Linked DNA regions of Rhinolophus ferrumequinum. The protein of the gene in region 1 interacts with the protein of each later gene in a biochemical or structural test. Links are inferred from orthologs where the notes say so. Each region holds a gene or a part of one and is shown on either strand. Other genes may lie near its edges. The genes, in order: DLG1, TANC1 and ARHGEF16.

Evidence for each region.
Region 2: the proteins of DLG1 (region 1) and TANC1 interact in a test that uses a peptide from one of them, tested with the Homo sapiens proteins (2 studies listed by IntAct, with this or other methods). The link is inferred for Rhinolophus ferrumequinum from reciprocal best matches to the Homo sapiens genes DLG1 and TANC1.
Region 3: the proteins of DLG1 (region 1) and ARHGEF16 interact in a test that uses a peptide from one of them, tested with the Homo sapiens proteins (2 studies listed by IntAct, with this or other methods). The link is inferred for Rhinolophus ferrumequinum from reciprocal best matches to the Homo sapiens genes DLG1 and ARHGEF16.

Annotation. Positions count from the first base shown.
Region 1 is NC_046285.1:51,451,686-51,455,429, reverse strand, and holds the start of DLG1 (disks large homolog 1), read left to right. Parts: upstream 1-1,354; 5' UTR 1,355-1,754; exon of another isoform or gene 1,755-1,765; intron 1,766-2,024; exon of another isoform or gene 2,025-2,106; intron 2,107-2,226; 5' UTR 2,227-2,255; coding exon 2,256-2,274; intron 2,275-2,970; coding exon 2,971-3,102; intron 3,103-3,744. UniProt on the Homo sapiens protein: Essential multidomain scaffolding protein required for normal development. Recruits channels, receptors and signaling molecules to discrete plasma membrane domains in polarized cells.
Region 2 is NC_046291.1:63,164,809-63,168,552, reverse strand, and holds the start of TANC1 (protein TANC1), read left to right. Parts: upstream 1-840; 5' UTR 841-2,215; intron 2,216-3,744. UniProt on the Homo sapiens protein: May be a scaffold component in the postsynaptic density.
Region 3 is NC_046292.1:1,913,276-1,917,019, forward strand, and holds the start of ARHGEF16 (rho guanine nucleotide exchange factor 16), read left to right. Parts: upstream 1-1,217; 5' UTR 1,218-1,648; coding exon 1,649-1,851; intron 1,852-3,542; coding exon 3,543-3,744. UniProt on the Homo sapiens protein: Guanyl-nucleotide exchange factor of the RHOG GTPase stimulating the exchange of RHOG-associated GDP for GTP. May play a role in chemotactic cell migration by mediating the activation of RAC1 by EPHA2.

The DNA.
Region 1 (3,744 bases):
GGTTACAGTACAAGGTTCCCCAGACTTCCTTTTTATTCCAAGGATATGGCCTCGGTGAAAGGCTGTCGGGTTTACTGGGAAGAGTCTTTCGGTTTTGAAAGACACAATCTCCGTGTTTCCAGTTTTGTCGCTAACTGTGGGTGACCTTGGGCAAATTCTTCTCTCTGGATCTCAGAGCAGGGAGGTCCCTGTTATCTAGAAGGGGCTCAAGGACCTGGGCAGTGACTTGGAGAGCTTTCCGCGAGATTCTTTCTACAACCTGGGTAGCTCAGCCCCTGAACGGGGTCCTGGCCCGCCCGCAGTCCCGCTCGGAGGTGCAGTCGAAACTTAAACCAGCAATGCGAGTTAAGGCGGCTGTGCTTCAGAGGAGGTGGCTGCAGGTGAGTTCTTAAAGGGGCCGCCTGAGCTTGGGTAATACCTGAGGCTTATGACGAGGCAGGTGTCGCAGGCAAGGGGGGAATGAATGAATGGGAGAGTGAAAGAAGGAACGAATTTTCTCTTCCCATCATTAAATGTATTCATGCTTTGAATTAATCACTTAGACTTAAAACTCCTCTAGTAAAACCCTCAAACTCTTATCAATCTTCTTATTTTACGTGCCCTTCTTTAATTCAACCCCCCAAAACCTTTTACTGAATAGTAACTTTAAAAAGATCGGTACAAAGTAGAACATAGTGCAGAGATGGTACCACCCCCCGCCCAAACTCCCCCCTTGCTCCCTTCCTAGGCCCCATTCTCTCCCGCCCCTAACGTGGGTGGCACAGTCAACTCCACCCCGAGACCGCTTTTCTTGGTTGGGGATCCAAGCCTCGGGGTGTCAGGCACTTTCTCCTGACGCGGAGATGAAAACAGCACGTGTTTAGTGAGGTTAAAGGGTGTCTCGGAATGTGTGTCTTGGATCTCGTATAGGTGAAGTCACGTCTGTCTTCAGACACTCCGACCTTCCCGGGTCTGGCTCGCTACTCGCTCAGAACAGAGGGACACACCGGTGGGCTAGGGCGAGGTAAAGGCGGGCTCAGCCAGGGCCATCCCAGACCACCTGTAGAGTCCATGTGTCACTCCTTTGTCCTCAGAGCCTCTACGGTGGCGCCCCTTTAAGAGAGGGGGTTCACTTGGGATGCTCTCCTGGTCCCCGTTCTCGTTCCCCAGGCCCCTCCCGGCCCTCCTCCCCTTTCCAACCCAAAGGTAGCAGCGCTGAGAGCCCGGGGCTCGGCGCGAGCCGCCTCCTCACTTCCCATTGGCTGAGAGCGCCGGGAAAGCGATCACGTGGGGGCGCGGCAATCCAGCTCCGGGGCCGCCATCTTGGCGGAAAGTTTGGGGGGAGAGCGGTTGGGGGCGCCGAAGGAGGCGAGGTTCCGGGGGTGGGGCGGCTAGGAGGGAAGAGGGCGAGCGGGCTAGCTGGCTGCGGCGAGTAAGGAGGCGGCGGCGACATCGGCCGAGGAGGAGGAAGAGGCAGTGGGGGTGCGGCCGCCGAGGGGAGCTCCTCCCCCGTTCCCTCACCCCCCTCAGCTCAGCTCCTTGCCCCGGGCGGGGCGGGGGGACGTGGAGCGGAGCAGGGCGGGGGAACCGCCCCGAGTCGGATCGAAGCGCACCCCAGCTCCGAGCGCACGCCGCTCTCAGGAACTTTGTGGCGGTGCCGCAGGTGTGGGGGCCCGCGGAGGTGTGCATGTGGGGCACCAGGGCGTCGTGGAGAGCGGCCGCTGCCCTGTCCGGCCCCTGTTGGAGTAGCCCGGAGGAAGCAAGCCAGGAGAAAGGCAAGCGAGAGGTAGGGGCCCGGGTAGGGCGGGGTGATGAGCCCCGCTGGTCCCTTCTCGGAGCGCTTTACAGCCTCTGCTGGCTTAGGGGGCTAAGGGTCGGAGCGCCTCTTCACTCCTCCCCCCACACCCGCCAGTAGCAGGTGGGGAGTGTGCATACTTATGCCGGGGGAGGGATGGCCCCACGTCTAGGCATTTAGTGCCCTTTGGAGAGGGGGCAGCTTTGGAAGACAGTTTGGAAGCCGACTTCTGCCTGCTCTTAATTTGCAGAGAGGTGCCCACCCCTAGGTAAAACCTTGTCTAAATTGACTGACACTGAGGACCTTCCTTTCACTTGGGAAAACTTTGCCAGGTGAGCTTTTCAAATACGGCTGGGAGTTTTTCGATTTGAGATTTAGGGGGAAATCCTAGTTTAGCCAGGATTCTATTCTCTTCTTTAGTTCTTTTTCCTTTCTGTTTTGTGTTTTTAAAGGTGTGTACTCTTCCTGATTCTGGAGAAAAATGCCGGTCCGGAAGCAAGGTGAGAATTTATTTCGGAAATCTCTTGTGGATGTCACTTGCTTTTCTGTATGCCTTTTTTTTCTCATTGCTGTATTTTAAAAATGTTTGTGGAACTCTGATGGGATGGCACAGTGCTGGCTAGCCTTACTACTTAGGGAATCTAAGCCTCACGTCATTCAGAAGATGGAAACACCTGTATGTTTGTCAAACTTTTTACCTTGGCATCTCTCTAGTGATTATCAAGAGGCAATTTTTCCCCTCTGCAATGTCTTTAAAAACTCTGAATTGGTGTTTTAATATTTCATTATCATTCTTACTAAACACTTTTGTGAGCAAATGTGGAACTGGCTAAGAGCTAGTATTTTGAAACATTTAAGCTTTGGATTATAATGACCAATTGTAGATAATCTGCTTTTGCATATCAGATCAGCTGAAACTATGTTACTAATACTTTTATCAAATTATCTTTTATTGTCTACCTACCAGACACATTTATTACAAACTACTCACCTTCCTCCTTTTTCTACTGTGACATGTTTAAATTTTTTTTGGATCATTCTAGGGAATATGTGTATACATGAACATAGTAGCATCTATTGACGAGATGGATTTTGGGAACTGTTTAGCTGTCTTAGAGAATCATTTGCTACATAGCTAGTGTGTAATACTTTCTTGTAAATATATAATTTTAATCAGACTCTATTTTTCTTCTCAGATACCCAGAGAGCATTGCACCTTTTGGAGGAATATCGTTCAAAACTAAGCCAGACTGAAGACAGACAGCTCAGAAGTTCCATAGAACGAGTTATAAACATATTTCAGAGCAACCTCTTTCAGGCTTTAATAGGTGGGAATTAAAATTTTATTTGTGACCATTATGTGTCAGCTAGGTTTAATGCTCCTCTGAATTTGTTTATTTAAGACTTAAGAGAGTGATGTACTTAGTTCTCTGTGAGGCATTCAGTAACTTTAACATCCAGTGAATTGTATATTTTGATAGGCCAATATCCTTTTCAAAAATATCTGAGAACTGAAAAAGCTTTCAGTATGATTATTTTAGTCTTAGAAAACAATATTTCACATCCTAGCATTAACAACTAAAAAAGGGAGTAGTTACAAAATTGTTTCCAAACCCAAAAGGTAACAACTGAATAACTGTTAGCTTGTTTCTGTGACTTGAATTTCTCTGGAGTGCCTGAAAATGTTTGAAGAGTTTTGCTATGTGTAAGAACATTCGTTGCATTAACATAGACTTCTGTTTAAACTGGGAGTCAGAATTTTAGATCTGGAAAATCTTAGAGATGATTTTGTCCAATCTTATTTTATAGACAAGAAAATTGAAACCATTTTATTCTTAATTGTAACTTAAATTTGAGATGGTGCATTGTTTTAAAGGAGAACTGGACAAATAGTTACAAGTCCTGAATTCTATTCCTGACATTGTCATTAATCAAATAACATTATACAAATCATTTAATCTTTTCTAGGT
Region 2 (3,744 bases), on another chromosome or scaffold:
TCCTAACTAGGCAGTGATGAAGTTATTTCTTTCGTGACTGTGACTTCTGAAACTCTGAAGACATTTTTTCAACTAAACAGAATCTAAAGACGATTCCAGTAATTAACGTATTTACTTTATGTGTTTTTCTACTTACTACTTAGGGAGCTCTGAGGATAGAGAGGAAAAAATGAATTTCACTGTCTTCAAAACCCAATTTAACTACGCGATTTCATCAAAAACTTGGTGAATATAGCTTAGAAAAGCCAAAGACAGAATGTGATACAAATTGTCGATTTCTGCCATTATACATTTTACCAATTATAAAGAAGTCTGAGGCAGGGAATCAGACCAGTCTATTTCTCCGGGATTGTTTCTTTTATATCTCAATATTTCAGATTAGTTAAAACTACCATGGAGTTTCTCTTTTTTTCTTTTGTTTGTGTCATTCTTTCATCATTAAGGTTGCTGTCTGGCTTTTTCATCTATTGTTGAAAGATTGCTAACTTTTATGCATTTCAAGAGAAGTTAAATAAAACATATTACAGTATTTTTCAGCAATGAGACATTTCAGAGTGAAGAAATAAGTCAAAGGTTTTTCTGGTTTAATAAATTGATATTTTACTTTAAATGTTTCTGTCTTGCTTTGTTTCAGGAGAACTTCAATGCTGCTGATATGTTTACTGCTCAAATATCAGTGCAGAAATAATCAGGCCTTTGAAACATGGGTGAAAAATCCAGCAAATTTCAGCATCTTTTATTTATGTAGAGCGATTAGTGTGGCATTTTGCTTCCTGCCCCTTTTCATAAGAACTTTAGGTATGGACACTCCCCTCCCCGGATATCTTTACATTGGGAAGCTCTGCGTGAGGTTGAAGTTTTTATGGGGGAACTTGTTTAAAACAGTTGTCTTTAAAGGCGGGTTTGCCACAGCAAGGTTAGAGGTTGCCAATAAATCCATTTATAGCAACTTCTGTATTCCCAGTTACAGACACACCGTTGGGGTGACTCCTGCACAAGTCCCGCAGGCCACACAAGGCACAGCAGTCCTGGTTGATCCTTCGGTGACCAAGGCCGGTCTGGTCTGGTCTAAAGGGCTTTGGGTGTGGAGTGGGCTGAGCTCCCCAGCCTGAATAGGAATCCCAGGCTGCCTGGGATTCCTAGGAGAAGCCAGCGAAACCAGGACTCCTGAAACAGTAGGCCCTATCCCGGATCTCGGTCTACTGGGGAATAACAAAACATTTTGGGAACTTGGGAATTTCACTCACTCCTACCAGCCAAAACAATAATAGCATCTTTGTATTCTCCCGGCTCCATACCTACTCCTCCCGCGGATAAAAGCCCGTCGTTAGCCTTCGGTAGATGTAGCACAGACAGCACAGGGCCAGCCTGGAGCTGTCAGAGGAGGCTGTAGACACCGGGCCCCGGGGACGCCAGGGCAATCTCCGGTCCCTAAACGTCCCCAATTCGCTCTGGCGAAAGAAAGACACAGCAAGCAGGCGAGATGCTCCTTACACCTTCCATTATCTTAGCACATTGTTGCACAGAAAGTGAGTGTGTGTTTTTTTTTTGTGTGTGTGTGTGTGTGTGTGTGTGTGTAGTTAAGTGAGGCAGAGAAAATTCAAGACAAGTCACACAAGTCACCTTAAAGAATCCACCAAAACTTCAGCTTTGTTAATTGCTCCCATATGTCCTTCTCGGTTGTTTTTAAAAAGCAGCAAGGAGGGGAGGCCGGGTCACTTCACTGATTTTAAAGAGATTGAAAAAAAAGACTATCACCCATCTTGATCCAGTCCGGGAGTGACTCAAGCTCAGACTCGAGGGACTAGCCCCCTTGAGGAAAGCTGGAGACCTGGCCGGGAGAGACGGAGCAGGGGGGCGCCGGGCCTGAACCCCGCGGAAAGTTCGAGCGCCGCGATCCAACGGGTCCCGGGAGCCCCGGCAGCCCAGGGCGGGGAGGGGTGCGGGAGGCGCTGCCCGGGCCCGCGCGCGAGAGGAAGGTGCCTTCGGGAACACGCGCAAGGGCGGGGATTCGGGCTGCCAATGAGGCCCTGGTGTGGGCCGTGCGAGGCGGGGGGACGGGCGGGATCGCAGCCTTTGCTGTGGCAGCTGCAGCAGCAGCGGCCGCTTCGGAAGCGGGAGGAGAGGCAGCCGCGGAGCGCCGAGCTGGCCGCACCCGGAGGCCCAGCCCTGGGGGTGGGGAATCGCGCCGAGGAGCTGGAAACTTTCCCAGCAGGTAACTCCCGCCGCCCTGGCGCCGCAGCAGGCCTCTGTGCGCCCGGGGCACGGCCAGATGCAGCGGAGCAGAGGGGAGGAGAGGGTCCCGGGGAGGAGGAGAGGGTGATGGGGAGAGTGGAAAGGCATGTGGGAAAGTTTCTGGATCCTCCCCCGCCCCCCACTGGGTACACTGAGGAGCTTTCCGGGGATAGGAACAGACATGTTGGGCACCCCGGGCCTTGGTCCTGGCGTCTCTGGAGAGTCTGCGCCTTCCCTTCGCCATCCCCTCCTAGCTGTACCGAACCGGCCCCGGCGGAGCTGGGATTCGAGGGCACCCAGGACGCACAATCCCCCGGCCTCCTCGCCCCCTTTCTCGCCTCCTCTGTAGCCCTCGGGCTTGGCAAGGGCTTGGGCTACGCCTGGTACCTGGGGCGGGGGAGGCGAGGGAGAGGCGCTCCCAGCACCGCGGGGTCCAGGGTGACCTCCGAGTGTAGGGGAGCACGGATCGCGAAGTTGCTGGGTGAACTTAAGCCAGAGGAGGGTGATGTCGTAATACCCCAGTCTGGGCTGAAAGTCTATTGCTTCGCTTGGAAGAACATTGCAATGAGCATATCTATGTTCCTTTGGTGGTGGGGGGTGAGCCAGGTAGGATTAGGTATTGAGGGAGAGCTGAGAAAGACGAGAATTGTATCAAGATTGTAAATCCCCCCGTTCTTTGGAGAGTGGTCACTTTGAGGGTACTTATGTCAGGGCGCACCGTCTTCCTGAAGGACTTTGGGGTGCAGGCGAACAATGCTGGGGGTGTGCGGGGCTCCCGGCTTTGGCGCGGCAGCTTTCCGGAACGGCTGGCTAGGAAGGAAGCCCTAAGCATTGTGTGTTGTGTTTGCAGGCAGAAATGTCTCAGGACAAGCGTTCTCAAAACTTACTTGACTTATTGTACAAGGCTCCGGGAGGAAATGCGGCGGTGGCCAGGTAGAAATCAGGCGCCGCGGCCAGGGGGTCGGAGACGCGGGGCTGAGAGACTGTCGTAGTCTTCGCCTCTGAACTGCCTCCAGGCCACTCTCGGCAGCCCCAGATCCCCATGCCTGGAGTGATGGGACTCGTCTCGGTAGCGCTGTCCCCTGTTGGAGTCAACTCGGAGAGGTTAGGAGGGCACCTTCATCTTGAACTTGACCCGAGTTGCAGCGCCGTCTGGGCGGGTTACAAGGTAAAGAGAAGCTGAATCTTCCCGTGGGATGGGCCTCCAGCTCTGGCACAGGGAGGAAGTGCCTGGTTCAAGATCTTTTGAGGAAAGGGCTTAGGATCGCTGAGGTCCCTAGCTCTGGAAATACCAGACCACCAGACTGCAGACGTTAATAATGTGTTTGAAGGCGGTGGGAATGGGAGAGGAAAAGAGAAACCTGGTTTGTTGGTACAGAGAGTTGGTGTTTCTCTGTGGTGGAAATGAAGGGAGTCTGCATCTCTGCTTTCACCAGATCGGCTGCTCGCTCTGTTTTTCCTTCCTGGGTCATCTTTATTCCTGCCAGGCTGGCACTCCTGGGATGGGGG
Region 3 (3,744 bases), on another chromosome or scaffold:
GGCCCACCAGGCCGGGGAGGGGCCACTGCAGCTTAGGACTGGCCGGGTTTTGTGGGGCTGAGGGTAGGCTGTCCAGAGACCTCCCCTAACGCCCTTGCTCACTCCCAACCCACACTCCTCACTTCCAGGCCCCTAGGGCCCCATACCTGCCCCCGAATGTGTGCCAGGGACACCAGGGCAGGCTGGTGAGTGGCAAAGGGAAAATCGAATGGCATGGCTTCCAAGGGCTCAATTGTTGGGGGCCCCTCCTGGCCCACCCTAAGCAGAAGCACCAAAAGGTGGCTCGGACCGTCTGGAAGCCTCCGTGATGCAGCCCTGGGGGTCTCTGCTGACTCGAAGCGAAATACCCAGGTGGACTAGTTCTTGGCACAGAGTACCAGTGACTCTTAGGGAGGGCGCCGTCCCAGAGCGGAGGGGACCAGAGCAGAACAGGTACCCGTGATACCTGGCGTTCACTCATCAGTTTGGGAAGTGAGCCTGACTGTTTGTGGGGACGTGAACAGGAAATTGTCCCTGCTCCCGGAGGACCCACAGACTCGTGGGGGAGACAGACAGACAGCACCCAGCCCTCAGTGCCGTGGGCCTCTCTGGAGGAGCTTACCAGGGCCACCTTTGCTGGGAGCAGACCGACCTCCGTGACCTGAGTGCTCAGTGCAGTGTCCAGAGTGTCTGGCCTCTCGGTAACTGTTGCCCGGACAGCATGGCTGTCATTTGCCCCGGAGGCAGCTGAAAGGAGTCTGTGCTCTCGGCCCCTCCCCTGTGCTGGCTCCAGGACACCAGACAAGGGCGAGCGTCCAGTGAGGACACTGAAGAGATACCTGTGGATCCAAGCAGCGGACATTGAGGCAGGGGGCATCCCAAAGAGCCTGACAGGCAGTGCGCTCGGGTCTGCACGTGTGCATGTGTGCCCTGGGCACACGGGCCTTGTGCCAGCACCATGCCCACCTCCTCAACACAAGCGGACAGCCGGGTCCCGATGGGCTGGCTGGTGGAGGCCGAGACAGGAGGAAAAGTGTGGGAGAAGGAGTTGGGCCGGGGAACAGAAGGGCACTAGTTTGAAAGGAAATAGTCATTGTGTTCAGCGTTGACAGAAGATGTGGCACCCATAAAAAATAACAGGTTGCCCACAGAGCCGTGGGAGCCGGATGGTGAGAACGACAGTACGTGTTTGGCGGGAAGGTTAAAAGATGACCTCAAGGGAAGACAGATGAAAACAGAGAAGAGGTCTGAGTCAGGAGGCAACTTCAGTGTGTTCATGCTTGTCGGGTTTTCCAGACGGATTAACCAGAGAGAACACACAGGTGAGAGAAGTTACCGCTGGAAACATCTGGACTTAGAAGACACACGTTGGAAGGATGCATGAGTACCAGGCTCAGGGAGTGGGTCCGTTCCCGTGAGCGCCGGAGCCCTGGGCGAAAGCTGGGAGACCCACACCCCCAGCAGGGCCGAGGAGGGCCCCATCATCCGAGGACGGACCTCGGATACCTCACCAGAGTGGAAGCTGGAAGACAAAGGAAGAAGGGTCCTCCCTCTGGAAGAAAATAACCACTGACGGGACTTTAAACTCAGCCACGTCACCAGTCCAGGGGAAGGAGAAGGAAGACATTTCAAAGACCTACTTTCTGGTCACTTCCTCTGAAGGAGGGACATGCCAGAGCCCGGGAGGGAGAGGAGCAGGATGGAGGAGGGTCTGGACCGCTGGGCGAGCTCCAGCCCAAAAGCAGGGGACAGGCCAGGGAGAGAGGACAGGGTGGCTGAGGGCACACGGGGCTGCTGTCCTGGTGGTATGGAGCGCGTGATGAAGACACACCACGCGGGGACGCTGGAACACGTCCAGGAGGAAAGCCGCAGGTAAACAGGAGGGAATCATTGATGAAGAGAGAGGCTCGGGGGTGGGTCCGTCCCGTGAGCCGACACACACGCCCTTGGGCATCACCCGGCAGGAAGAGGGTGGTGACGGCCACGGTGGAGAGATCTCAAAACAGCAGGCTTCACCGTAGTTAGAAATGAGGGCAAACAGGAGCGCGGAGTGGAGACCCGGGGGCACAGGGCGCGGAGGAGGCCACACCTGTCTGACAACAAACCTCTTCGTGCTGTTGGACTTTGGCACCCGTGTCCAGGTAGTTCTGTGATAAATTGAGCAATAGAACAAGGGAGACGTGGTATTGCCTGCGGTGGCTGCAGCCCTGAGCCCAGAGCACCTGCAGACCCCGGGGCCTGGCTAGGGGTGCCCAGGCCTGTGGGTACAGCCACCCTGCTGAGCACCCCACATCTGGCAGTGGTTCGCCCAACTGGTTTCATCCGGGCACTTGCTCCCCAGAGAAGACTTTGCCCTCTCCTGGGACAGGCCTGGGCTCAGAGGAAGGGATGAAGAAGAGTCAGGCCTGAGCCCCAGTACGGGGACCCCGGAGGGAGAGGAAGGAGGAAGGACGGGGCGGGCGGGGGCTGTATGTGTGGGCACTCGGAGACACAGTCGTGGAGCCGGCCCTTCCATGCTGCCTGTTCCCTTAACAATGCAAACGCCTCACGTTTAGGGTGAAAGGACGCACAGGGGTTTCGAGGCTGCAGGCTGCCCACGTGGGTGCCCTTTATTTGGCATGCTCACAGATGGAAGTCGGAACCCCGTTTTCCGGCCAGGCCTGGGTAAAAGGCAGACAAGTTAACATAGGGGCGGGGATCCGCGAAAGTGCAAACCTGCCCGGGCCCAGCCCCGGGGAGGCCTGGTATGACCGCTGCCATCCTCTGCCTGAATGAACCTAGGAATGCGCGGGCGGTCCTCCTGGTGTGGGGGTGGCCAGGGCTCCTGGGGACAGGGAGGCGCAGCCCAGCTGCCTTCCTGCGCGGGTTTAGTGGAGAACCTGACCTGTGCTGGGAGAGCTGAGCGGATCAGGGGCCAGGCTTTCGGGTGCCCCGCAGGTGGTCCGACTGTGCTGTACTGTAGGCCCGCCCCATGTGCCAGCCCCACCCCACCCCCCTCGGGGGGGTGGGGTGGGGGGGGCTCCTGGAAGCTCGGAACCTCCCAGGGGAAACCCAGACCCAACATGGGGCACTGAGTGTATGAGGTGGGGTCGGGCTGGGGCGTACCTGGTGGGAAATGGTGCCAAGAGGCTGTGACTGATTCTCGCCCAGGTCTGTGGGGCCCCGGGCCCAGGTCCCCTGAGCTACCCACACGTACACCCCCAGCATGGGAGTGTGTGACTCCCCCAGAGGTGGCATAGTGGCCTCACACGGCCGGCCGGCCTTGAGTGCAGTCTGCCTGACCCTGGGCGCTAGAGCTCAGAGAACCAGCCGCCTGGCCGCAGCCTGGGTCCCCGCAGGCCTGAGACTGTGCCGACCCTCCCTGCACACCCCAAGCTGGCAGCGCTCCGACCTCCCCGGGGAGGCCTGGTGACTGTGGCTGTGCCAGGGCCAGCTCCACGGCAGGCTGCGTGACTGGCCTTCGAGTGCTCGGACCCGAACGCAGGCTCTGGGCAGGGTGGGTGCTGAGAGGGCGGGGCCGGTGGCCATCTGCGTGCTGCCCTCACCTTTGCCCTGTCGCCCAGGACCCTGTGGCCGCCCAGCATGTCCCAGCGGCACTCAGACAGCTCCTTGGAAGAAAAGATGCTGGAATGCCGCTTCCACTCAGAGCTGCAGCTGGATGCCAAGGGGAGCCCAGCACCCAGGCTCCCGATGGTCCGGCGGTCCCTGAGGGTCACGGACAGTGCTGCCTCCCAGCCTGATGTCCCAGGTCCCCCGCCTCCAACC